7 linked regions of the Oryctolagus cuniculus genome follow. The main gene of each other region encodes a partner of the protein of the gene in region 5 in a complex. Links are inferred from orthologs where the notes say so. Each region holds a gene or a part of one and is shown on either strand. Other genes may lie near its edges.

Region 1 (3,500 bases), on a different chromosome or scaffold from region 5:
AAATAATTCAACACAAATAAAAGTGTATTTAGCTCTTTTCCATAAGAGTTACTTTCTAAAAAACAAGAGTAAAAATCACAGTTATAATAATAATGTCCAAAAATACCAGTTGGCTAATATGCTGTGTTAAGAGGTTCACATATGCACTTAGATGGACAGTCATACCTACTGTTTCTCCTCTTTACATTTACAGGTGAAATTCTTGATTCACAGTAACTGCCAGCTGAATCACAGTAAAACCAAATGAAAACTAAATCACAATATTCTAGAATATCTTTTTTTCTTTCATATTGAAAAACACATCTAGGAACAACAACTACTCTGTTTCCAGTCCATCAAGGCCTGGGAGACCACACACTTCCAGAAGGGCCCGCTGCTAGTTAAAAACCGTGTAACAAGCAAAAATCTTGCTTCCCTATTTAAATACAGAGTTAAGACTCGTTTGGAGGGTTCCAGAATAACCCCCTAGATAAACCACCTGCCTTTGTTTACCCCATGCAACAGAATGGGACGTGGTCTCGGGAGGAAGGAACAGGTCGGCAGAAAATTATAAACCAAGAGCACATAGCACTTCCCTATCCTGGTGCCTTTACTGCCGCCCCTCATACATTTCAATCAACTTTTTTTTCCCCTAAAGAACAGAAAACCATTTTGTGTCCATCTGTGTTCCTACTAAAGAAAAGATCTACAGACCCTGGTATGCCTGTGACACGCAGCAGACCCTGCAAGTGATCTCTAATGTGGCCTGGGAAATCCATGCCAAGAGAGCATGTGACTCTAATAACGAGCTAGGAAGGGTCGCTTCAGCAAAGAAACTGTAAAGCCAACCTTGGGAAGAGCAAACACACATCACATTCAAACTCACCACTGGCAGCACTGACTGTTTAAGGTACTCACCTCTTCAGCACACAAGGATCAAAGGGGAAGAAGGTGTCAAGTGGGTTGGTGCAGGTCTGCACCGAGTCCCCGCCAGCTGTATTTCTAATAACTGGTAGCATCTGGCGGTTGTTCCTCTCAATGATAGTGTAGCAGAAGACGAGCTGGTATTTGCTGTGGACACCAAAATCAACACAGATGGAGGCATTACCATGCTGGAATCACTGCATGGATGTGACTTACATGTCACAACTGCACGGAGCACACAGATGTTGACAGAACAAGTGCATGAAAAAAACAACACAAAGCAGGAAGTAATGCTTTCAGGGTACTTTGAGCCTAGGACTAACAAGCCTTTTAAGGAAAAAGAAAATGTGGCTTTCACTTAAAATATGAAATTGGACTTAGATCAATAGGCATTACCAAAAAAAAAAATATCAGTATGTCTGCCAGGTAAAACTCTTTTAACACGCATAATTATATAGCTATCTTTACTTCTGCTGTTTGCAAAAGAACCGGGGTTAGTGGAAAAGGGATTCTTGGGACGGACATCGTGGCACAGCAGGTTAAGCCATCATTTGGCATGCCTGCATCATACACTGGAGGCTGGTCTGAGTCCTGGCAACTTCACTTCTGATACAGCTTCCTGCAAGGCAGCAGATGATGGCTGTGTCTGGATGGAGTTACAAGCTCCTGATTTTGGCCTGGCCTGGCCTGGCTCTGGCTGTTACAGGCATTCAGGAAGTGAATTGGTGGACAGAAAATCTATTTTTGTTGTTTTTAATTTATTTATTTAGGGGACAGCACTGTGGCAGAGCAGGTAAAGCCGCAGCCTGCAGTGCTGGCATCCCATATGTGCTCTGGTTCAAGGCCCAGCTGCTCCACTTCTGATCCAGCTCTCTGCTATCGCCAGGGGAAACAGCAGAAGATGGCCCAAGTGCATGGGCCCACGTGGACACCTAGAGGAAGCTCCTGGCTCCTGGCTTCAGATTGGTGCAGCTCCAGCTGTTACAGCCACTTGGGGAGTGAACCAGCAGATGGAACACTTCTCTCTCTCTGCCTCTGCCTCTAACTTTGCCTTTCAAATAAATAAGTAAATAAATCTTTTAAAAAAATTTATTTGTTTACTTGAGAGGCAGAGTTACAGAGAGAGAGAGAAACAAAGAGAGAGGTCCTCCATCTGCTGGTTCACTTCCCAAATGGCCTCAACGGCAGGAGCTGGCCTGATCTGAAGACAGGAGCCAGGAGCTTCATCCAGGTCTCCCCAGTGGGTGCAGAGGCCCAAGCACTTAGGCCATCCTCCACTGCTTTCCCAGGCCATCAGCAGGGAGCTGGTTAGGAAGTGGAGAAGCCAGGAACTGGCATTCTTATGGGATGCCGGTGCCACAGGCAGAAGCTTAGTCCACTAAGCCACAGTGCTTGCCCAGGACAGAAAATCTTTCTGTCTCTGTACTGTTCTGCCTTTCAAGTTGGTAAAAGGTTAAAAAGATTTTCTTTAAATAATAAACATTAAGAACAAACACCACGGATTCCAGAGTCAGTGAGGGGGAACAGGGGCTGCTGAAGGAGACTTAGCTGCTTCTGAATAGAAAATTGGGACTTTACTGAAAGCGGGGCAAGGGGTTGACCAAGTAATGGGTAGGAAAAGGAATAGGCACGGTGAGGCTAGAGATGTGAAACAGAAGAACATAATAAAAACCAACATAACCGTATGAGATCTACATCTCCTACAACCTGTGTGACAAGAAACATGTGCCTGTACACGAGGGCACACACACAAGAATAATCTTATGCTGTTGTACCCAGTACTGAAGCAAAAAACCAAATACAAATCAAATTCCGACAAAGACTTTTTTAATTCTAAAAATATTAATAGGCTATACCACAGCAGTTAAAATCAAAACAAGCTATAGTTGTCAATACAAGGGGATTTCAAAAACCTCATAGGAAAAATGGTATTAAAAGACAAATTTATTTGGGTTTGAAAAGAACTGAAATCCATGCATAGTTTTTTTGTAATACCCACACCTTCAGTAAACTTTGTGAAGACACGTCTTATGGCTGCATCCCAAAACCATGAAGAAAAACAGCAGCAACATAATGGTCCCTGGACCACTGGGCACAGACCTTTGTTTGTCTCCTACTCTCAGCCTCATCTCCTACGCTTCTGTCTGCTGCACGTGCCAACCTCAAATCCAGAGTGCAGTCCTCCGCCCTAACCCCTAAATTATTCTGGGGTCACCGCCTCATCTATCCTCACTCTGCCGGCTGCTCCCCCTCTTCAGCAGTATAGAAACCTTTTCCCCACTAAGCGTGGCTACACGTCGGCTTCTCTATTCCTTTCTGGAATCCTTCCTTACCATTTCTGAGATCCCCGAGAGACAGGACACCTTGAACTAAATGCCTACTGAAAGAACATGAGGGTTCCTGGATGACAGCAGCAAGCTGCCTAAAGGGGACTGAGGCAGGAAGACAACCATAGCCTTAACTGTCTTCATCAGTGAGGACCCCACCTGAACAGCCTCATTAAACGGCCAGGCTCTCCAGGTCTCTCTCCTCGAAGCAGAACCAAGCGAAGCGTGCACAGCCGCCACTATGCTCTCAGACCTCAGCTCTGCAGTGTT
Region 2 (4,037 bases), on a different chromosome or scaffold from region 5:
ACATAATTTTAAGTAGGTGGTTTAAATCTCAATTTGATGATACACATTATTTTTTCAGCAAACCGGATGTTTCTAAAGTCAGTTACCCTAAAACTCTTGGAGACCCAAATGTCTACAGGAAAAAATCTGTTTTCTTCTGGTACTCCTCCCTGTTGAACAAATCAAACATGCCTTTGAGATGTTCTTTTTCTGCCTTAAATGAACCAACACTTGGCCACCTAATGTATTCATAATCACTATAGTGGAGGCATGAAGGGAATATGTATTCCTTATGAGGTCTATGCTTAAAGAGGAAAATTGCTTACAATTTGAAAAGCCCTCAAAATACTGATGTCATTAAAGGTTCTTGGGAATTTGAAATCAGTGATTTTCAAATTTTTAAAAAATTATCCTTTACTTGAGCGAAGTTTTTTGCTAAATGAAAAGTAATTTATATTTGTCCTGATTTTTAAAGACAATTCCAGGCTCAAAATGTGGCAAATTAGAAGGTCATTAGTGGCCCAGTCAAGTGATCAACTCGAAGGTTTCTTTCAAAAGTATCAGTACTGCTGCAATCCTGGCATATTAATTGGAATCATTTTTATATTGGATACCAAATTAATATCCAGGGCAATAAACCAACACCTACTTAGAACTTTAATATTTTAAAAGCCAGTTTGCAGTAGGTCTCCTCATTCTTGTAACTCACAATTGTCCTACACAGTAATGTATGTGGATAAACTGAGGCTTTAGGAACTTAGCTGTTTCTTTGAGAAGCGTCATATCCTCATTAGAGTAAAACATGAAACACTGCTAACATTTCCTGAATACCTGATGAACAACATGCTATCATAACCAAGTTCTAGTCCAACAACAAAATCATTTAAAAAATTCCCTACAATAACACGCACACCTTTCAATACACAAAAATCGACTAAACCATCCGTGTTTTAAAATATCAAAAATGTTAACATAAAAAAAGGACTCCAATAAGAGAGCGCATTTCCCCAAACAAAGGAAGCAAATCCTAGCTACCGCATCCAAACAAAAAACTGGGGCTCTGAAAGCAGCCCTCGTCCGCTGGGAAATTACAGCCTCAGAAAAGGACCTAGAAATAAATTGAGCTCCGCACGCGCCTGCCTCTCGCCTCGGGAGCACGCACCTCCCAGCCCCGCTCAGCAGCTCTCACTATTTAAAGCCGGATCTGGTGTTTAAATGGAGAGGCGGTGACGTAGGCCTGAAAAGCACCTTCCCATCCTGGCAGAGTCTATATTAGAGAGCGGCAATGGCTCTATATAAACAGGGCAGCCAAAGGGAGGAGGACCACAAGGCTCAGGGACTGAAAAGCAGGGTAAGCGGCCGCAGCCATGATGGATCGACCCGAGTCGCCAACGGTACGGTGTCGGGCGGCCGCGGGTTTGTCCGCGGCATTCGGGACCGGGCAAAAACGTGTTTTATTGTCGTAGTAAAAAGAAGAGTTGGGTGGGCTAGTGATCACACTGCGTTGGTGACTGAAAAGGTTATTTATGTGACTGCTTTTTGCAAACCTACGTGATCGCAAGGAACCAAAAAGGGACTCACGGGAAGAAGTAGGCAAATTTCAAGGCGCAAGCGGGGCACTTTGACCACTGGAGGCTTTTTGGGGTTTGTTCTGGTGCTTTTGCTAGTTGAAGATACGACGGGGGTTTTGCTTCCCCTTCGCCATTTTACCCATTCGGAAGGAACTGAGATAAGTGCTTTTCAACCTTCGTCTGTTTTTTTTTTTTTTTTTTTAACATAAAATGGCCCCATTGAAGGTCCCCAAAGCACAACCGCCAGGAAAAAAACAAAAAACAAAAAAACCCAAAGTAATCCTCCAAGTAACCCTAAGCCTTCCACTGCGTTCAAGTGGATCCCGGCGGGTCCCGGGAGCTGGCCCAATTCCCCAGCCGCGGATCTGATTCCGAGGCCGCTTGGGGAGCCTGGTCGAGCCGGCGCCGACGGGCCCCCTTCGCGGGAAGCGGCGGCTCGCCGCCCGCCCGCCCGCCCGCAGGCCGGGGCCGGGGGCCGGGGCCGCGCGCCAGCCCGGGCCCAACGGCCTCCGCGGCCCGGACCTCCCCAGGCCCCGCCGGCGCCCCCGCCCGCCCCGCCGCCGCCGCCGCCGCCGCGAGCCCTCGGCGCCCCCCCCGCGCCCGCCGCCCCGGCCCGGGCCGCCCGAGGCGGGAAGCGGCGGCGGCGGCGACCGCGCGGGCGGCTCCAGCGCCGAGGCCGGGATCGCCGCCGTCCCCGCCCCCGCCCGGTCCGGCCGTTGCTGCCGCCTGAACGAAGCCCCCTCCGGCCACCGAACCACGTCCTTACCACGGTGTTTGTATTTGCCGAGTTCGCCATTTCCACACACAACACAAACAACACGGGGGTAACCCCGGGAAAACACGGTCAAAACAAAACCAAAAAGAAAAAAAAAAAAGAAAAGAAAAACCACCCGGAGGGCGACCCAAGTCACCACAGATTGGGGCAAAAAATGGAAACAAAATCGATTCTGAGGGAGAGGGGGAAGCGGTGAGAGGAGAAGGAAGGGGACACTCTCTCCTCCCGAAGCTAAAAACCTCGAGAAATGCCTTAAAAAAAAAAAACACGCCAAGACCCTTCGGGGGTCCGGGGGGCGTTGCCCACTCCCCACCCCGTGCCAAGGAGGGAAACCACCGGTCACCGCTCCCCGCGCCGCCGCTGCCGCCACCGGCTGCAGCTCCAGCCGTCCGGTCCGCTCGCTTCTCCCCTTTATATAGCGAGCCAACAAGCTGCGCGAGCCGCCGCCGCCGCCGCCGAGAGACAGGGCGGAGGGGGAGGGAGGGGCGGAAAGGGCGGGGGCAGAGGTGGGCGGGGCGGAGCGCGAGACACCGCGAGAAGCCGCGTGCGCAGGCGCGCCGGGGCGGAGGCCGCCTCGCGCCGCGTCGCTACGCGCGAAGGAGGGCGCTGGGCGGGCGGAGCCCGGGGACTGGAGTAGTGGAGTTGGCCCGCCGGCTCCCCAAGTCTCGCGTGATCACGTGGTTGGCAACCAGGCGGAAGTCTCCTGCAGCCCTCTGCGACCGGGAGCTTGCAAGGCATTGCTGGGAAAGGTGCGCGAGTTCTAGTGACACCCGAGGGCTCAGCTAGCTGGGAACGCCTCCTGTCAGACGTCTGCGCGCCGAGCGGCGCTGCGGGAGCTGGGGTATGGGAAAGGGGCGGTGGCCGCCGCCGCGCTCGGCGCGGCCGAGGAGGAGCGCGGGTCACGTGGAGCGGCTTCCGGGCCCCTGGCGCGCCTGGCTCGGGACAGGGTGTGAAGTGCGGAGTCATCTTGTGGCCCCGGGGCTGCGCGCGTCTGAGTGGGCCTCTTCTCGCAGGGCTGAGTCTGTTTCAAAAGCGGGTGGGAGTCTATTTGGGTCCTCGGTCTGCACGGTCCAGAATTAGCAACCTCCGAAGCCGGCGCAGCTGTTTGTCCCCACGCTGAGTCTGGGTATCAAGGATTTGGGGGCGAAGTGTCCCCAAACTTTCGGCCCCCGCTAGCCCGCGTGGTTTTAATGACTTCGCAGCCTGATGGAAATGACAAAGCGCGAAACTCCAGCCGCTGGACTATGGAAGAGCGATGACTTTGCCTGGCGTTTTAAAAATGTTGCCAACATGCCATGACTCCACGTGGCTAGCCTGGAGTGACTAATCACACGTGAAGTACGAGCCTTTGACCCACCAGTTAACACGGCCTCTCCCTGCGAGAGAGCTGGGAGCATGTGTCCGTGTCGTGGAGGGCATTCGATAGGCGTTTGACCTGCTTCACCCAAGCAAAGCCAGCTTTGATGTCAACATCTCACGCGGAACAGAGTGCGCTGTCCCGAAGGCAGAACCCTCAGTACCTCATTTTCTCTAGCCCGGGAATTTTGAGTGAGGGGGTTTATCTTCAAAAGGCAAAGCAAAACAGAATATCAGAAGAGTTGTGTGGGTGAAACCAGGTTTGAAGACTTATCAAAGGCATGCTACCAGGGGGGGGAAGATGCACCTTGCCAGGCTCCGGGAAAGGATTAGAAAAGCAAGAGGCCGTTAATAGA
Region 3 (3,500 bases), on a different chromosome or scaffold from region 5:
GGATCGGTGCAGCACGCTGGCCATAGTGACCATTTGGGGGTGAACCAACAGAAGGAAGACCTTTCTCTCTGTCTCTCTCTCTAACTCTGCCTGTCAAAAAAAAAATTGTGCAACTGAAATGAATGAATTGTATGGGCCAATTAGGTCTTGATAAAACTGGAGTCCCCCAAAAAAGGACTACTCTAGCTGCAGAGAGAGAAGTCTTTCAAGGAGTTTTGCTGAAACAGAGAATAGAAAACTAAGAACAAGCAGTCTGTAAAGAAAGTGGTGTCAAGTGATTATTTTCAGATAGAAATAACAATGTTTTTTATATGATGATGAGAAACATCCTACAGGGAAAATAATGAGACAGGGAAAGGAGGAGGTATTATTGGAATGAATGAATGAATTAATTAATTAATATTGGGGAATCTCAGAATTAAGAGTTCAAACAATTTTTAGTCTCCTTTAAAATAGACTAATAGATACTAAAATGCTAACAAGTACTAGACACAAACTTTGCACTCAGAATTACTTGTAGTAACTTTTGTCCACTTGTCCTACACAAGCTACTGAGTGAAGCTGCAAGCAGGAACTCCAGAATCTGTCCTTTCTTCTATCAGACTTGACTTCTGTTTACCTCCGGCGCAGCCTGCTTTTTGTAGGTATCTGAATCCTCCAAGGTCTGAAAATAGCTGTGCATATATTCTGCAGCTTCCTGCCACTGGTGCTTCAGCAGAGCTTCTTGGATAAAACGTAAACAAGCACTTGTTGTCTGAGCAAAATCCTTCTTCTTTTTCCCTCCGATCACTACAAAGAAGCAAGAGGAGCTTTTACTCACAAGGACTTCAACTATCCAAAAAACTTGCTTCTGATAAGCAGAAGTGCAAACAAGTATTAACAGTAGGAATTACCTGACCCAGCCCATTCCCAGTACTAAAACTAGCTTCACCTGAAACAAATCTTTCCGTACCATATCAACTAGTTTTATCAAATTTAAAAAAATCTAATTAGACATTCTTGGGCCACCAGTCACCAATCCTTCGATCAGATTCAATCTTTTTTTTTTTTTTTGAAAGGCAGAGTTAGACAGTGACAAAGAGAGACACAGAGAAAGGTCTTCCTTTCCGTTGGTTCACTCCCCAAATGGCTGCTATGGCTGGTGGGCTGTGCTGATCCAAAGTCAGGAGCCAGGTGCTTCTTCCCGGTCTCCCATGCGGGTGCAGGGCCCAAGCACTTGGGCCATCCTCCACTGCCTTCCCGGGCCACAGCAGAGAGCTGGACTGGAAGAGGAACAACCGGGACTAGTATCCGGCGCCCTAACCGGGACTAGAACCCAGGGTGCTGGCACCGCAGGCAGAAGATTAGCCTAGTGAGCTGCGGCGCCAGCCCTGATTCAATCATCTTTTTGTCCTTGCACTGAGTAACTGTGGAAAGTCTAACAAAGAGGCCCTCAAAAACACAGCACGGGTACTCAGAGCAAGCAGGTCATTTTAAGAAAGACTACCAATGTCCCAAAAATCCCAAAGGGTATTTTGTTTTTTAAGAACCAAGTTCCCAGGACCAGCTTTTGGTCCCAGTTGCACCACTTCCAATTCCAGCTGCCTGCTAATGTGCATGGGGAAAGCAGCAGCAGATGGCCCAAGTGCTTGGGTCCCTGTACCCACATGGGAGACCCAGATGAATTTCCTAGCTCCTGCCTTCACCCTGGTCCAGCCCTGGTCATTGCAGCCATTTGCGGAGTGAACCAACAGATGGAAGATATTTTTCTTTCTTTTTCCCTCTCTCTGCCTCGCCCTCTCTCCTAATTCTTTCAAACAAATAATCTTAAAAAAAAGGGCCACATTTTCAGTTGTAACAGTTGAAGACAGATTTTTCTATCTCTAAAGCATTAGTAATCCCATCTTAAGAATAGTTAGGCTTGGGGCCAGCACTGTGGCACAGCGGGTTAACACCCTGGCCTAAAGCGCCAGCATCCCATATGGGCGCCGGTTCCAGTCCCAGCTGCTCCACTTCCAATCCAGCTCTCTGCTATGGCCTGGGAAAGCAGTAGAGGATGGCTCAAGTCCTTGGGCCCCCACACCCATGCACCTATGTGGGAGACCTGGAAGAAGCTCCTGGATCCTGGCTTCGGATCAGCCAATTGGGAGTGAACTATCGGATGGAAGACCTCTCTCTCTCTCTCTCTCTCTGCCTCTCCTCTCTCTGTGTAACTCTTTCAAATAAATAAATAAATCTTTAAAAAAAAAAAAAAAAAGAATAGTTAGGCTGGGCTGGCACTGTGGTGTAGTGAGCTAAGCCTCCACCTGCAGGGCCAACATCCCATATGGGCACCAGTTCATGTCCCAGCTGCTCCTTTTCCAATCTAGCTCTCTGCTATGGCCTGGGAAAGCAGTGAAAGATGGCGCTGGCCCCTGTATACAGTTCTAACCTAGATTTGCCTATCTTCAAACTTTTTATTCTAAGGAGCACATCCTTTAAAATGCCAAAAGAATCTCCCAGGATAAAAAATAAGTGTTTGGCAATTTTATTTTCCTATTATGGCTAATTTCTACTACAAGATCACTATTACGTGCAAAATATTTTCTTGGGGCTGGTGCTGTGGTGCAGCGAGTTAAAGCCCTGGCCTGAAGCACCGGCATCCTATATGGGCACCAGTTTGAGACCCAACTGCTCCTCTTCCAATCCAACTCTCTGCTATGGCCTGGGAAAGTAGTAGAGGATGGCCATGTCCTTGGGCTCCTGCACCCATGTGGGAGACCCGGGAGAAGCTCCAGCCGTTGCGGTGAATTGGGGAGTGAACCAGTGGATGGAAGACCTCTCTATCTGTCTCTAACTCTCTCTGTAACTCTGTCTTTCAAATAAATAAAATAAATCTTTAAAAAGACATTTTCTCATAGAAGACGGAAAGTACTTTGGCCGGCACCGTGGCTCACTAGGCTAATCCTCCGCCTTGCGGCGCTGGCACACCGGGTTCTAGTCCCGGTCGGGGCCCCGGATTCTGTCCCGGTTGCCCCTCTTCCAGGCCAGCTCTCTGCTGTGGCCCGGGAGTGCAGTGGAGGATGGCCCAAGTGCTTGGGCCCTGCACCCCATGGGAGACCAGGAGAAGCACCTGGCTCCTGCCTTTGGATCAGCGCGGTGCGCCGGCCGCAGCGCGCCAGCCGTGGCAGCCATTGGAGGGTGAACCAGCGGCAAAGGAAGACCTTTCTCTCTGTCTCTCTCACTGTCCACTCTGCCTGTCAAAAAATAAAAAAGAAAGTACTTTGGATTTAATAGCCTATCCATACATAGCACATGAAACATCTTATGCATGTATACTCTATTTGTCTGCAGATTCGGGATCTACAATAATAGTGACAAAAACATGCCCAGAGATGTCTTAACTAGCACAAGTTCAAATTACTCGTTTCCTACAAGCAATGTGGGAGCATTCCTGCTGAAGTACCAACCATTCAAACCTAACAGATGTGTTAACACAGCAAAAAAAAAATTAACAGAGGAACAGAACTATTCTTTTTCAA
Region 4 (3,500 bases), on a different chromosome or scaffold from region 5:
GCCGGCCCTCAGCCATGGCTGCCCGGAGAGCTTCCGGAACCTTCCCCCCAACCTGCTGGGGCTCGAGCTGCAGGAGCAGTCGTGGGAGCAGTCGGCGGTGGGAAAAGGTGGGCGCAGCCCAGACGGGCGGAGTCGGGGGCACTTCCAGCAGGGCATCCAGCCATCGGCTGCAGCAGGCGGTGGCCTGTGGGGTCCAGGAAGTGGGGGGTGTGGCCGGCTTGTCCGGGGCAGGTGCTGCTGCCTCGCAGGTCTGGCGGCCGGGCCTGGGCTCGTCCTGGCAGAGGCTGGAGTCCGCCCGCAGGTGGAGGTACTGATAGAAGATGTCTCCCGCTGCGGAGAGCTGGAAGACGGACAGCGCCGGCGTCGGGGCGGCGGGGACAAAGGCAGCTGCCAGACCTGGAGGTGGAAGGACGATGACCTGGAGGCCTGGCCCACGCGCCCCCAGCCCGGCTCCCCCCAGCTCCCCCCCAGCTCACCTATGCTTGGCGCGCCCAGGCGCTCCTGCAGCTGCCAGTGGCTCTTGGGCTCCAGCAGGGGAAATGCAGAGAGAGAGTCGGTCCTGGAAGGAAGTGACTGGGGGGGCCCTGCCAGCCTGGGGGCAGCGGTCAGGTTTCCTAGAAGACAGACAGACAGCTGAGGCCTGCTCAGGGCCGGCCCTGCCGCCCCCACCCCTGCCCTCGTGGGCCCGCACCTGTGACCTGCAGCAGCTGCAGCTGCCCACCGTGGGCTCCCAGCAGCAGGGGCTGTGGGTGGCCGGGCCGGGGCGGGGGCAGCAGCCGGGCGAGCAGGGGCGGGGAGGGGAAGCCGTGGTCCCACTTCAGCATGGGCACCAGGGGGAAGCGCTCGTCCACCAGGTACAGCGAGAACTGGGGGCGAGAAAGAGGCGGGCGGAGGGGTGTGGCTGAGGTGGGGATGCCCAGCCTGGTCCACAGCCCAGGCAGCTGGGGAGAGGGGGCCCGGGAGGAGCTATGGGGGTCTCAGCACACAGAAACCCACCTGCCTTTCCCATGGGCGTCCCCACCCACTCTGGGCCCTGATCCGGGCTTCGCTGTGGTGACAGGCGGGGAGAAGGCAGGGCAGAGGGCAGAGCACAGGGCGCTCGGCTGCCCCCCCACGCCTCTCCACTGCCGCCTGGGGCCCTCGGCTGCCCTCCCTCGGTCTGCAAGCACGGGCTGTGTTTAGGCCACACCCATCCCTCAGCGTTCTGTGCATCTGTGCTCAGGCCCGGGCGACTGAGACGGAGCAGGGGGTGGAGTGGGGCTGGGGGGCACTCACCTGGGTACAGATGAGGTGCAGCGTAGGGGGCAGAGTGTCGGGGCTGGGCTGCCCCAGGTACTGGGCGAGCAGGACACGTTCCCCCTTCTGGCAGGAGGCCTCTGCGCCCCCACGGAACAGCAGCAGGCCACAGCCGGGTGGGCCCTGGGAGAGACATGGGGTCAGCCTCGCCCCTGCACCCACTGGCACCACTGCCCTCCTGCAGCCAGGGGTCGCTGGCACGGGCCCCATACCTGGGTGTCCACCAGCTTCACTCCAGTGCGGTCACCCACAGTCAGCACCCGAGGGTGCGCAGTGAAGTCCACCCAGCGCCAGGGAGAAGGGTCGCGGAACACGAGGGTCTCAGGGTCCTTATAGACCTGCTGCAGCCTTCGGGAGACGGGCACGTGGTGGGTGGGGGTCACCACGACGAGGACCTGCTGCCCAGGGCGTGGAGGGCTTCAGGGGAGGGGGCGTTACCCATCCTGGGGGGTCCACAGACAGACGGCTCCAGATCGGCTGCTGACTGCCATCTCCCCTGGCAGGTGCGGGCTAGGGGACACCACGAGACGCACGTCAGGCCGCCTGCCCCTTCCGCCGGCCCGGCCCTGCCCAGCCGCACTCGGCCCTCACCTGAGACTGATCCCCGTGGCACCCTCCCGGACCTGCAGCACCTGCAGGGGGGCGGGCGGCCCCTGCTTCCCCATCTTCCACATCGCGCAGTGGTAGTCAGAGCGCACAGCCAGCAGGGCTGAGGGGGAGGAAAGGCCAGAGGTCAGGGGCCAGGGGTCAGGCAGCGGGCGAGTGAGCGAGGCACAGAGGCACTTAAGGGCCTTACGTTCTCCCTGGACGGTGCAGGTCACCACCTGCCGGACAGGCCCCCGGAGCTGGATGCGTCCAGGGGCTCCGAGGACGCGAGGCCGGCCACGTGAGGTCAGGCTGATCTCTTGGAAATCTGGGCACTTGCTAAGGGCCAGTGCACACGCTCCGGTCAGGCCCTAACCCAGCCCCGACGCCACTCTCACGTACACGCACGCGCGCACACACACACCCCACTGCCAGGGCAGAAAGGATACGCAGGCTGTCCAGGGCGCCCCCGGCAGGGTAGACCAGCTGCCCGGCTCGGGGCGACCTTCCGGGCACCCAGGCCAGGGCGCCCCCCGTGAAGGTGTCGTCCAGGACCAGCTGCTCCCACCGCAGGGCCAGCTCCTCGCGCAGCAGCTCCCCCAGGACGCTGGCCACCGACCTGCCCAGGACGGAGCCCCCGAGGAAGGAGAAGCGGCGCTGCCGGTGGCTGAGGGACGCCCAGGGGCACCTGGGGACGCAGGGCAAGAGCTGGAGACGGGCCAGGCTGGGCTGGGCGCGCTCTCACCGACTGGCATTTCCGGGGACCCCCCCCCCATATTCTCATGCCCTGGGTCCCATGACCTGGGCCTGCCGCTCGGCCTGGCTCCCAGACGACAGAGCCGAGCCAAGCCCACCTAAGTCCTTTCTAGGACTTCTGTGGCCTCAGGGAGCTCCCCGACTCTTTCCCCGAACCCTGCCCCATCTCGCGGCCTCTGGGAAGCCGTCTGAGAGTTCAGCTGGCCAGCAGGAAGCGGACAGACAGCAGAGCGGACTCTGACCAAGCGCTGAACGCCGGCGCCCAGCTGGCCCCTCCGACGTCTTTCCCGCAGGCCGGCCGGGCGTGGGAGCTTTGCAGGAAGCCTGGTTCACGGGGCGGGGGCGGCACTGCCACAGACCTGCACCCACGGCCCAGCTCCCGCCCCCCCCGCCCCGCCGCGGGGCCGTCCCCCCCGGGCCCTCACTGGCCACTTGCCCCCAGGGCTGGTATCCTCCGAGGTCCTCGAGCAGCCTCTTCACGAGCACCACTGCGTTCTTCGTGGAGTGGTTCTGCACGGCACGGAAAGGCTCGTCAGGGCCGCACGCCCGGGACCCTCAGTGAGCCGGGCGGGCCCCGGTCCCGGCCGGCCGCAGCTCCTCACCTGCTCTCCGTCCAGCTCGAAGTTCTCCAGCATCAGCTTCCCCAGGGGTGCAAAGGCTATGTCGCCATGGTCCCACAGGAACCGGCTGAGCTGGGGGAGGAGAGGCGGCCGGGTCACTAAGCACCGCCTCCCGGCCACACGGCGCCGTGCACCACGGGGCACTCACCTGCTCGGTGACGTCCAGCACGACCCGGGGCCGCCGGCGGTACTGGTAGCCTCCACGGAAGAGCAGGTCCTGGGCAGTCACGCCGGGGTCCCAGG
Region 5 (2,658 bases):
GCGTAGGGGTGCTGGCGTCTCCAGCTGGCCCTGGGCCCACTGTGGTCACTGTGGCACAGGCAGTGAGCAGACGAGGGGCCTGCAGGTCCTGCCAGGAGCCGGGGACAGCTCTGCGATGCGGCCAACACCCTGGGGACAGCAGTGGCTCGGCCACCATGGCCCTGCTCTGCCCTGGTCCCCGTCCCCAGCTGACCGCGGGCTCGGCCCCGTGTGGGTTGCTGGGAGTAGCTGCTCCCTGGCCCTCAGCCTGGGCCCGCAGGGACAGCCCGGGAAGGGCCCCCGGGAGCCTGAGGGCGCTCAGGGCTGGTGCGACCCCGACAGGGCCACAGGGTGGGGACCCAGGCAAGGGCAGCCGCTGACCGCAGCAGGCAGTGCAGGCTCGGACGAGCAGCCACGCTGGGTGGGCGGGGACCAGGGAGCAGGAACCAGGACCCCGAGACAGCTGGGCCAGGTGGACTGGGGGGGGGGGGGCGGAGCGAGGCCAAGGAGGGGACCAGTGGTGTTTGTGCAAGGACTTTACTGGGCGGCTGGCGACATGCGTGCGCGCGGCCCGCCTCTGCTCCCGGCGTCTGACAGCCCGGCCGCGAGGACGCAGGGCAGGACGCCGCGGGCCATGGCGGGGCGGCGCTACTTCTCCAGGGGCGCGTAGTTGAGCAGTTTCTCGATGAGGTCCACGTGGGCCAGCAGCATTCGGCGGCAGCAGTAGCGCTTCAGCCCCAGGGCGTCCAGGGCGTCCCTGCGACCAGACAGCAGTGAGGCGGCCTGCGCCGGGCTCGCCCCCAGCGCGCCCCTTCCCACCCGGGGGCTCCGGCCTCCCGGCCCAGCCCGGGCCCAGCGGCCGGAGCATCCCTGCGACCAGACAGCCGGGCTCGCCCCTGCTCCAGGCCAGGTGGACAGGTCCCCCCAGGATGCACCGGGGAGGAGCCACCCAGGGCCACCCCTTCCCCACCCAGAGGCTCCAGCCTCCCGGCCCAGCCCCGGCCCGCCCTCTCCCAGGCTGGGCTCACGGTGGCCAGGGCAGCCCCGGCGCCCCCTCCCCCGGGGGCCGGGACTCCCGACCACGACCGCAGCCCCGCGGGACCCCCACTCTCAGGGAGCCACCCTTCTACTTCCGGAAACCAACGAGACGCTTCCAGAAAACTCCTGCAGCGCTGGCTCCGGGGGGCGGAGGAGGCGGCTTGGGAGTGAGAAGGCGCGACCGAGGGGCCTCGGCAAAGCAGCCCCTGCCCCTCCGCCCCGCCGCAGCCCCGCGTCAGCCCGCGGCGCGGGACAGGAGGCGCGGGTGGGCCCGGTCCCCGCCCCGCCCCGCCCCCGGGCCCCACGCGCCCGGCGCCTCACCCCTCGGTGTACTCCGCCTGCAGCAGCCCCAGGTAGGCCTCCCACTTGTTGCCGACGATCTTGCCGCACGTGAAACAGCGCACCGGGATGATCATGGCGGCGCGCACTCCGCGGCAGCCCCGCGCACTGCCGGGCCCGTCCGCGGCGCTGCAGGCCCCGCCCCGGGCGCGCCCACTGGCGCGGGGTTCCTCGGCGCCGATTGGAGGCCGCGTCCGGCGGCGCCCCCCGTCCGGCGGTTTGGTACGTGCCGCGCTACGGCGACTGGGCTCGGCCAAAAGGGCTCGGCGGCGCCGGTTCGCGTTTCTCGTGTCCGCTTGACTGACAGCTGCGCGGCGGGAGCGGACGACGCGGTGCGGCGGCGGGAGGCGGCGGCCCAGGTACTACGCGGGCGCCGGCTGGACCCGGACGCGGACATCAGCCGCGGCGCGCGAGCGCCACCTCCAGTGCGGAGCCCCAGGCCGGTCGCAGCAACAAGTGGGGCCGGGCGAGGGGCCCGGCGAGAGGGTCTGGCCCCGGGGCGGGAGGCCTCGGACGGACCTTCCCGCCTCCCGGCCCGGCCCGGCCTGGACCCGGTCGCTGTCCCTTGAGCCCTGCGCGAGGCTCGGGTCCCCGCGGGGAGTTGCTGGGAGCCCCGACGGCAGTCTGTCGGCGTCTTGTTCGCTCTTTCCCGGGCCTGGCGCTGGGCGTGTGGTCAGCCCCTTTGAGCTGACCCTCGAAGGCCAGGGCCCCCGCGTAGGGGCAGCCCCAGCTGTGCGTCCCCTTCAGGGGCTCCACGGGCGGGGCTGCTGCCTCCCGGGTGGACCGGGCTGAGCCTGGTGCCCCGGCTGCCCCAGGCGGGCTGGGGAGCCGCAGGGCTGTGGGGGTGTTGCCCGTGGCCCCCGCGGGGCTCTGGCCAGGTTTGCTGGCCTTGGATGTGTGGCCGGGGCGGGGTCCTCACGCGGGACCCCGGCATCTGCTGAGTGCCCGCTCAGGGCAGACGCTGGACAGGGACGGGGACGAAGGGTCTCAGGTCCGGAGTGGGGCTGCCCAGAGCCACTGCCCTGCCAGGGTTAGTGCCCTCTCGGCCACGTGCGGAGCCACGAGCCCTGGCCACTTCCCTTCTCTGCCTCCCTCCCCCAGGCTGAGTGGACGCACATCCTGCCCTGGCCAGAGGGGCAGGATGGGGCCGTGAGTCACCGTGGCCTGGGGTCAGACCCAGGCTCGGCGGCCGCGGCTGTGGAGGAGAGGGAGCCCGGGTCCGGGAGGCCAGCCCGGTGGGCGCCCAGCGCGTGAGTGGGGCCTTCCTGGGGGAGGGGTCAGGGGCCTGCCCCGCCCCTGCTC
Region 6 (3,500 bases), on a different chromosome or scaffold from region 5:
TTTAGGCCAGTTCTTAGCACCAAATGCCTTTCTTGTGCCTCCTGGAAAACTACTTAGGTCTCTTGAGGGAGGGCTGCCTGGTAGGAGGCCTGGGCTGATAGATGGCAAGTCCCTCAGCTGTTTGCATTCGAGTGACCTGAACTTTGAAAAGTCACGCCTGGGGACAGAAATCTTTATTTTGGTAACAGATGCTGCTAATGCAGATTCTGTGGTTAGCGGGCTAACTCAAGGGTGTGAATCCGCTGGCCTGCCTCCCACATCAATCTAATGACTTAATGTTCTCCCACAAAGGGGCTGGTGCTGGAGGAGACGGGGAGCCAATGGGTGTGATTGTGAAACCTGGTGGGGGGGGTTGTTTTCACTGTTTTTGTTAAGCTCCACTTACCACTGCTAACAGTATGTGTTGGAGTAACCCACTCTGATCTATAGAGTGCTCTGAAGATTTGTCTTCTCAAAGATTGAACAAATAGACTTTGCTTGACCCTTTTCAAGTGACTTCTGTTTTGTTAAGGTCTGGGCTTCCTGCAAGATTCTGGACTTTGTGTTGTGGCTGACAAGCTGAACTTCATACGCTACCTCTCCCATTTCCGCTGTGTGCACAGAGGGGCTGACTTTGCCAAGATGAGGACCACCACCGTCCGCAGGCTGCTCCCGGAATCCTGGGGCTTCCTGTGCCCTGTGCACACCCCAGACGGGGAGCCCTGTGGTCTGATGAACCACTTAACTGCCATCTGCGAGGTCGTTACGCAGTTTGTGTATACGACATCCATCCCACCTTTGTTGTGCAGCCTGGGTATGTGACCAACAGCAGTGAACGGTCTGGTTTGGGTGGATGGCTTCTAACAGGTACAGACTGTTGGGTTAATGCCCCTTTGGGGATTCTGTAGTGACTTCTCACAGAAGTTCCTTTTCACTCTTCTATGCAATAGTTGGGCTACTTTTTTGGCTTGCCTTTGGAAGATCAAATTCATTCTTTGAAAAAGGAAACAGGAGAACTTCAATGTGGGTAGGTGATTTGTTCTTTCTGAAACGAACAGTATCAAGACATTTGAACAAGACCAGCAGTTAATATTGGAAGTATAGAAGCTATTGTGTAACTTTAGTTCTCCAAACTTCTGTGGGAGGACCCCTGCCGTGTTGGTGCAGGAAGATGTTTAAAAAAAAAGGTTGTCCAGTATACTTAATGCTGCCAAGTATATAACCGTTGCTCCTGGCTACCTTGCAGCTGCTGCCTCTGCTGTGGCTTCTCTCACACTGTTCTCCTGTGTCTGATGCTTGGTTTGAGCTTACCTTCATACTTAGAATAAACAGCTTTTTCTTTGAACAGTTGCCAGTCCTGGGGTCCTCCAGTTGTGATTTGGAGACCTAGTTTGGTGGTCTGTGGGTAGGTTCTCCAGTGGGATTAAGGCTTACACATTTTTGGGTCAACTGGCATAGTTTTATGTGGTTCTGGTGAACGCCTCCACTTCCCAGGGGTCAGATGATCATAGAGTTTCTCTAGCAACCAGAGAATGTGGAGTCAGGGGTCCAGAAATGTCAGCTTACAAGTGCTTCTCCCAGTTAGAGGGGGGCCAGAGAGAAGGAGGCCCCAGAGAAAGGCATGAAGAAATACACAAGATTGAGAATGTAAGCAGTATAATTTGTACATTCACCATCTACAAGGAAAAGGATGGCTTTGTTTGCTACTGGGGATTTAAATGCCAAAGCCTGGGAGATGGGAGAAAGGCGAAAAGAAAGAAGTGGGCAGATGGGAAACGTGTCCCCTGCTGAAGAGGAGATGGGAAGGGTGGTTTGCTCCGGGCCTGGGGAAGGAAGCGACAGAGATGGTCGGGCACTGTAAACGCTTCGGGTCCTCAGGAGCTCTTAGGGGCTCCTGGGTGAGTGCCCTTTCGCCTGATGACAGGTGGTTCTTGGTGGTGGTGCTGGGTCTGTAAAGCCCCTGCCACCCTGAGTTAGTGAGTGCTGCAGTTCCAGGGGTGCTCCTGCAAGCCCCAGGTCACAGCCGCTTTGGTCAGCTGGTGTAGTTTTATGTGTTTCTAGTGAAAGCACCTTATTCAGCTTGTGCTGTTGATTCCTGGATGTTGCGGGGCACCGTGACTGTAAGTGTACCTGGATAGCGTGCAGCACAGCCTCACACCCTGAGGAGTGCCCGACAGCACTGCAGTGCTGTGCTTGAGGTCCGCGTTAAGTAGCAGAGTCGCCAACAGAAAGCAGAGAGGCCGCAAGCACTGAGCGGCCTGCACTTGTTCCACCTGTTTCCAGTGTCAGAGCTGAGGCAAAGCCGCGCGTCCCCTTGATCCATCTCAGCTGGGAATACGCACGCCCGAGTTGCGGCTGCATGTCCTAAGATGGCCTTGAAACTGCCCTTAATCTTGCTTTTGTGGTTACAAATAAAAAGTAGCAAGCAGGTAAATTATAAGTATGGAATCTGCAAATAATTATATATTTTTGAAAACAGTTATGTGTACGTGGCTCAGACGTCATACTTTAAAGAGTGTACGGGTATAGGGAGAGGCTACCTTTCCTCCCTCTCCTGCAGCTCCTCTCCCCCAAGGCTAGTTGATATGTAAACTGTTGAAGCTGTTGATGAACCCTCCGGAGGGCATTTGAGATGTTGGCTACAGGGGCCGGTGTGCTGTGGCTCACTTGGTTAATCCTCCGCCTGCGGCACCAGCATCCCATATGGGCGCCGGATTCTGTCCCGGTTGCTCCTCTTCCAGGCCAGCTCTCTGCTGTGGCCCGGGAAGGCAGTGGAGGATGGCCCAAGTGCTTGGGCCCTGCACCCCATGGGAGACCCGGAGGAAGCGCCTGGTTCCTGGCTTCGGATCGGCGCAGCGCCGGCCGTGGCAGCCATTTGGGGAGTGAACCAACAGGAGGAAGACCTTTCTCTCTCTCTCTCTCTCCAACTCTACCTGTCAAATAAATAAAAAGAAATGTTGGCTACAGCATTCTGACGTGATCATCCCGTCTGTTCCTTCGCCAGGGGTCACACCCATCGATGGGGCTCCACACCGACCGTACAGCGAGTGCTACCCTGTCCTGCTGGATGGCGTCATGGTAGGCTGGGTGGATAAGGAGCTTGCTCCCGGCATCGCAGATTCTCTCCGTCTTTTTAAGGTGATCTTCAGTCTGTGAGTTGTCGCGTCTCTGGACGTTCGGTTTTGGGTCCTTTGCCATGGATGAGATGGCCCTAGGGCAGTCTCAGGTGGTCAGCGGCCAGTGGTTTGAAGCTCATTGAAGAGCTGCCAGTACTTTCCTCCCGTGGGCAAAGGCTTGCCCACTGCTGACCTCCTTGGCAGGGTCTGTGACACGTTTGGCCCATCTGCAGTTTTTGGTCGTTTCATTGAGATCCCAATGTAATAAATTTTAACTTTTTCCTTCTTGTTAATATTAATAGCATATAAGGGATTTCAAAATATGAACATTTCAATAACAGTAAAGATACATGAGAAATATAAGAAATACAAACATCTGCCTGCTTTTAAAGGGTGAACAGAGTA
Region 7 (4,098 bases), on a different chromosome or scaffold from region 5:
GGCCGTGCTCGGTCCTGCTGGATGTGCTACCCGCCCCTCAGTCTTCTCAGCGACCTCGGCTGTCAGAGCACTGCTGTGCTGAGGCGCCCTGGTTTTACTCAGTAATTGTCCCAAATGCAAGAGCAGGGAGTGTGCAAATCGGGTAAAGCAGAGAGAAGCTGTAAAATGCTTTCTTCAAGTGAAGTGGTGAAAATTCTCCACTTAATAAGCACAGGGAAAAAAACAGTGTGGTGTTGCTTCGACCTATGATGAGAGTCAATCCTCCACTCATGAAATCGTGTTGGTAGAAGAAGTTCCTGTTACTTTTACTCTCCCATCTCAAACTGCAAGTTATCACCACAGTGCATCCTAAGTGCTTAGGTAAGAACGGGAAGGCATTACATTTACGGTTGGGTATCACCTGCGGTGGAAGGCATCCGCGGAGGGGCTGGAAGAGTATTCTCCAGGGAGGAGCGGGGGACAAACACACTCCAATCTGGCACCTTTCCCACCACGCCACCGAAACAGCTCTTACCAAAGATCGACTGCATCTCATCTAGTCTGTCTTCACATCATCCACCTTTCACCACTCCTGCTTACAGCCCATTCACCTCCGTGCAACATTTTCTCCCTTAGCTTCTGCACTCTTTGCCGGGTCACCTATGCCGAAACTCCAGATCTGTACTAACCATAAGGCAGCCCACAAGTCACACTCACTAGAGCAACTGAAATAGGGCCGGTCTGTGAGATATGTTGGAAAAGCACAATACACACCGGACTTTAAAGACTGTTTTTTGGGGCTGGTGCTGTGGTGTAGTGGGTAAAGCCACACCTGCAGTGCTGGCATCCCTTGTGGGTGCCAGTTTGAATCCTGACAGCTCCACTTCCGATCCAGCTCTCTGCTATGGCCTGGGGAAGCAGTGGAAGATGGTCCAAGTCCTTGGGCCCCTGCACCCAGGTGGAAGACCTGGAAGAAGCTCCTGGCTTCAGGTCGGCTCAGCTCAGGCCAATACGGTCATTTTGGGAGAGAACCAGTGGATGGAAGATCTCTCTCTTTCTGCCTCTCTGTAACTCTGCCTTTCAAATGCATTCGTTTTGTTGTTGTTGTTGTTATTTTGAAAACTCAGTACAAGCTGAAAGAATATTTTCAATATGTTGGGGTTAAATAAAATGTTCATTTTACCCATTTAATTTTACTTTCAGAAGTGGCTACTAAAAAATTCAAGATTACATATGTGGCTTGCATTCTGTTCCTATTGGAGGGTGCCGCTCGAATCTGACGGCTGTTGTCCTCGCCCCTTCCCCAGGCTGGCTCACCGTCACGGGATACATAGCAGCATCTGTGCGATGGCCATCTCAGGGGCACACAGAGGTGCGCAGGCCAGAGTTCCTTCATGGGACAGAACTACTGGTGGGTGAGCCAGCAAGTGGACAAGGAGCAAGACTGATTCTGGAGTGCAGATTTTGGAGACTGGGCAATCGCCGAGCCCTCTAGATTACACTGCTTTGCCAAATTCAACCTTGGCCGGGATGGTCTCCGGTTTCTCTGGCATGTGTGCAAAGGAGTTCAAGAAACCCTAACGGGCCCTGTCTTTCTCCTTAAAGGTCAGTTTGTAATGAAGGCAACGGAGCTCCTGCCATCTTACAGGCCTTGTAACTCTGTCACCTTCTGATGGCTGGAAGAGATTACGAGTAACCTTTCCCTCCAGGACTAGGCCGATCAATTCTGATCAAAAATCGCTGGAAATGATGCCAATTACACTAATGCAACGGAGACACTGAATTCTGTCCCCTCCCCCCCACACTCTGGAAGAAATTTAGCGACAAAACGTTTCACTTTTTGAAAGTGTAGAAAATGGAAAGACTTGATTGCATTCCGGCCTTAGAAAAGAAAACGAAAAAGGGACTTGACCTCAGAAAAGGTCAGATGAGTTTGAGTCAATACGTAAATGAGGTATCAAAACTACTAACCATTCTATGAGCACTCCTTTCAAGACGTTGACCATCTTTGTCCAGCCGGAAGGGGCAGAGGATCTCAACCAAGCTAATAAAAAAGGACAAGGTGGACATGTCATTCAACAGCATCGACCGGAACAAGGCAAGCCACTCCCCGTCAGTATAAACAGCGAAGTCTATCAGAGACGAAGCTAACACAAAGGAGACATGCAGCCATTCTGAGCTTCTCACAAAACGGAGTCTGTCCGGAGCTGTCCACCACGCACACATACACCTGCGGCCGAACCCCACAGCCGCGCCGCGCCCCGGTACTCCGGCTCCCCACCCGGGGGCTTGACAAGGCTAAGGTCCCGGAGGGCGGGGGAGAGGGGGCCGCAAGACCTACAGGGCGCCCAGCCTCTTCATTTCGGACCTGAGACAGGGCGAGGACCCTAAGCCGCCGTTCTTCCCGGACCGGACCGGACCGGGAGGTCGGGGGTGGGGGGACACAGCCACACTGCGGGCTCCCTCCCCGGGTAAACCGCGTCCCCCAGGCTCCGCGCTCCGAGCTCCAGGCGCGGCGGGCGCCCCCTGACCCCTCCAACCGCTACCCCGGGGCCCAGGGCACGGACACCCAGCGCCGCGTCAGAGCGGGGCGCACTCTGGCGCCCCAGCACCTGCAGGACAGACTTTCCGATCTTTCTCCTCCCTCTCTTTCCGGGAACGCCCGGTCTCCCACGCACCTCACCCCGCCGGCTTGCCCCGAGCTCGCCACGCACCGCAGCCCACAGACCCGGCGGCCCCCAGATGCCCCGCAGCGCGCGCGCGCGTCTGCCCTGTGACGTCATCGCGCCGGGGACGCTCTGTGGGAGGAGCGCGCCGCTGGGAGGCGGGGCGCGCGCTGGGCCGCGTGGGCGGGGCCACAGGCCGGCCGCCGCCGAGTGGAGGGCCGGGGGCAGGCCGCGCCGGGAGGGTGGGCTCTCCGGCGCCGGGATTCCCGGTGAGCGGTCGGGGGGCGGGCCGTGTCCGCGAGCCGGCAGGTAGGAGGACTGGGGGGCCGGGCTCGTGAGGGCGGACGCGGGCGGCGGCGCGTGGGAGCACGGTGACGGGGCGCCCCAGCGAGGTCGCGCGGCGTGAGGGGCTCTCTCCGGTCCTCGGGGGCCGGAGTGTCCTCTGGCGTCGGCTGCCCAGCTCGGGGGGCGCCGCGCGGGGCTGCCCGCGTGCAGCCGGGCGTGGAGCCTCGGTCACGGCGGAGGGGGAGCCCGCGGAGATCCCGCCGGTGCCGACCCGGCCCGGGAGCGCGCGCGCTCTGAGGAGGTGCGGGCGCCTTGCGTTGAGTTGCACCTGCCGGGTGAAGTTCGTGCGGATTTTTGCCCGTTCCCCGCGTGGGCTCTTGTGGTCCAGCTGCGATCCCCGAGTCTTCACGTGCCTTGCGTCCCGGGGCGCTCGTTCCTGGCGAGTGCCCTTGGCTCTCTCTGCCTTGCGCTCCGCGTGGGCGGTGTGCCGGGGATTCGGGGTGCTGGCCCGATGCCCGCGCCGGGGGACCCGTTTGTAACGTGCACTCCACCGCTCAGACGGAGCTGCTCATCCTCCGCCCGCCCCCTCCCGTTAAAAACCTGCTTTTCCTTCCCGTGTCTCTCCAAGTCACCCAGTTTTAAAATCTGCATCCGCTGGATCAGCGAGCACTGTTGTGCACCTGATAGGTGCCAAACCGTGTTCTAGACGTTTGCGGTCTATTGGTGAAGGTACAGAGGGCCGCAAAAATGTTAAGGACAAAATGCCAGGTGGTGACGCGGTAGGGATTGCATGGAGAGTGTCAGAAATGGCCTTTAGGTAGGTTTCTGAATTAAAAAAAAAAAAAAAAAAAAAAAAAAAAAACTGATACCAGCAAAATACTAGCAATTTTAATAATAGTAAAATAATCCGTAACTTCCAAGACTAAACATTATCTGGAAGTTAGTGAAACTAAAGCATTAGTTCCTTTAGGGAGAAAATGATAATGCTTTATTGAAACACATGGAAGACTTGAGTGACGGAGAGATACATCATATTCATGATCAGAAGGCTCGATACCAAATAGAAATCGGCTTTCCCCAGGGCTGTAAATTCAGTGCAATGCCAGTTAAAATCACTGTATTGGGTTCTCATGAAACCCGACATGCCAGACTTCAAAATTTATATAAA

Evidence for each region.
Region 1: POLR2L (region 5) and RRN3 share a complex: the UniProt entries of both Homo sapiens proteins name them as parts of the pol I pre-initiation complex. The link is inferred for Oryctolagus cuniculus from reciprocal best matches to the Homo sapiens genes POLR2L and RRN3.
Region 2: POLR2L (region 5) and GTF2A1 share a complex: the UniProt entries of both Homo sapiens proteins name them as parts of the TBP-based Pol II pre-initiation complex. The link is inferred for Oryctolagus cuniculus from reciprocal best matches to the Homo sapiens genes POLR2L and GTF2A1.
Region 3: POLR2L (region 5) and TAF1A share a complex: the UniProt entries of both Homo sapiens proteins name them as parts of the pol I pre-initiation complex. The link is inferred for Oryctolagus cuniculus from reciprocal best matches to the Homo sapiens genes POLR2L and TAF1A.
Region 4: POLR2L (region 5) and TAF1C share a complex: the UniProt entries of both Homo sapiens proteins name them as parts of the pol I pre-initiation complex. The link is inferred for Oryctolagus cuniculus from reciprocal best matches to the Homo sapiens genes POLR2L and TAF1C.
Region 6: the proteins of POLR2L (region 5) and POLR1B are in contact, whole or in part, in a cryo-EM structure (PDB 7OBA), measured with the Homo sapiens proteins. The link is inferred for Oryctolagus cuniculus from reciprocal best matches to the Homo sapiens genes POLR2L and POLR1B. Residues at the interface, in NP_066951.1 of Homo sapiens: Met1, Ile2, Pro4, Arg6, Cys7, Phe8, Thr9, Cys10, Gly11, Trp18, Tyr21, Leu22, Leu25, Gln26, Glu31, Gly32, Arg42, Tyr43, Cys44, Arg46, Arg47, Met48, Leu50, Ala51, His52, Val53, Asp54, Leu55, Glu57, Lys58; in NP_061887.2 of Homo sapiens: Leu16, Leu19, Thr20, Asp21, Pro22, Tyr24, Gly25, Pro27, Ile157, His160, Glu161, Glu162, Ala163, Phe698, Leu701, Thr702, Arg713, Gln715, Thr716, Pro717, Gln718, Ser719, Leu721, Asp733, Asn734, Pro736, Asn740, Ala741, Ile742, Asn760.
Region 7: POLR2L (region 5) and GTF2H5 share a complex: the UniProt entries of both Homo sapiens proteins name them as parts of the TBP-based Pol II pre-initiation complex. The link is inferred for Oryctolagus cuniculus from reciprocal best matches to the Homo sapiens genes POLR2L and GTF2H5.

Annotation. Positions count from the first base shown.
Region 1 is NC_091450.1:18,617,051-18,620,550, reverse strand, and holds part of RRN3 (RNA polymerase I-specific transcription initiation factor RRN3), read right to left. Parts: intron 1,051-3,500; coding exon 898-1,050; intron 1-897. UniProt on the Homo sapiens protein: Required for efficient transcription initiation by RNA polymerase I (Pol I). Required for the formation of the competent pre-initiation complex (PIC).
Region 2 is NC_091451.1:27,055,452-27,059,488, forward strand, and holds the start of GTF2A1 (transcription initiation factor IIA subunit 1), read right to left. Parts: upstream 2,801-4,037; 5' UTR 2,347-2,800; coding exon 2,317-2,346; intron 1,698-2,316; exon of another isoform or gene 1,561-1,697; intron 1,374-1,560; exon of another isoform or gene 1,268-1,373; intron 1-1,267. UniProt on the Homo sapiens protein: TFIIA is a component of the transcription machinery of RNA polymerase II and plays an important role in transcriptional activation. TFIIA in a complex with TBP mediates transcriptional activity.
Region 3 is NC_091444.1:36,964,311-36,967,810, forward strand, and holds part of TAF1A (TATA box-binding protein-associated factor RNA polymerase I subunit A), read right to left. Parts: intron 790-3,500; coding exon 620-789; exon of another isoform or gene 515-619; intron 1-514. UniProt on the Homo sapiens protein: Component of the transcription factor SL1/TIF-IB complex, which is involved in the assembly of the PIC (pre-initiation complex) during RNA polymerase I-dependent transcription.
Region 4 is NC_091449.1:65,916,349-65,919,848, forward strand, and holds part of TAF1C (TATA box-binding protein-associated factor RNA polymerase I subunit C), read right to left. Parts: coding exon 3,406-3,500; intron 3,330-3,405; coding exon 3,240-3,329; intron 3,148-3,239; coding exon 3,074-3,147; intron 2,570-3,073; coding exon 2,331-2,569; intron 2,210-2,330; coding exon 1,888-2,209; intron 1,807-1,887; coding exon 1,735-1,806; intron 1,645-1,734; coding exon 1,509-1,644; intron 1,420-1,508; coding exon 1,276-1,419; intron 867-1,275; coding exon 692-866; intron 615-691; coding exon 477-614; intron 397-476; coding exon 1-396. UniProt on the Homo sapiens protein: Component of the transcription factor SL1/TIF-IB complex, which is involved in the assembly of the PIC (pre-initiation complex) during RNA polymerase I-dependent transcription.
Region 5 is NC_091432.1:353,577-356,234, forward strand, and holds POLR2L (DNA-directed RNA polymerases I, II, and III subunit RPABC5), read right to left. Parts: upstream 1,504-2,658; 5' UTR 1,434-1,503; coding exon 1,339-1,433; intron 737-1,338; coding exon 628-736; 3' UTR 501-627; downstream 1-500. UniProt on the Homo sapiens protein: DNA-dependent RNA polymerase catalyzes the transcription of DNA into RNA using the four ribonucleoside triphosphates as substrates.
Region 6 is NC_091433.1:113,624,438-113,627,937, forward strand, and holds part of POLR1B (DNA-directed RNA polymerase I subunit RPA2), read left to right. Parts: intron 1-511; coding exon 512-793; intron 794-2,983; coding exon 2,984-3,117; intron 3,118-3,500. UniProt on the Homo sapiens protein: Catalytic core component of RNA polymerase I (Pol I), a DNA-dependent RNA polymerase which synthesizes ribosomal RNA precursors using the four ribonucleoside triphosphates as substrates.
Region 7 is NC_091436.1:9,585,004-9,589,101, forward strand, and holds the start of GTF2H5 (general transcription factor IIH subunit 5), read right to left. Parts: upstream 2,801-4,098; 5' UTR 2,658-2,800; intron 2,024-2,657; 5' UTR 1,986-2,023; coding exon 1,951-1,985; intron 1-1,950. UniProt on the Homo sapiens protein: Component of the general transcription and DNA repair factor IIH (TFIIH) core complex, which is involved in general and transcription-coupled nucleotide excision repair (NER) of damaged DNA and, when complexed to CAK, in RNA transcription by RNA polymerase II.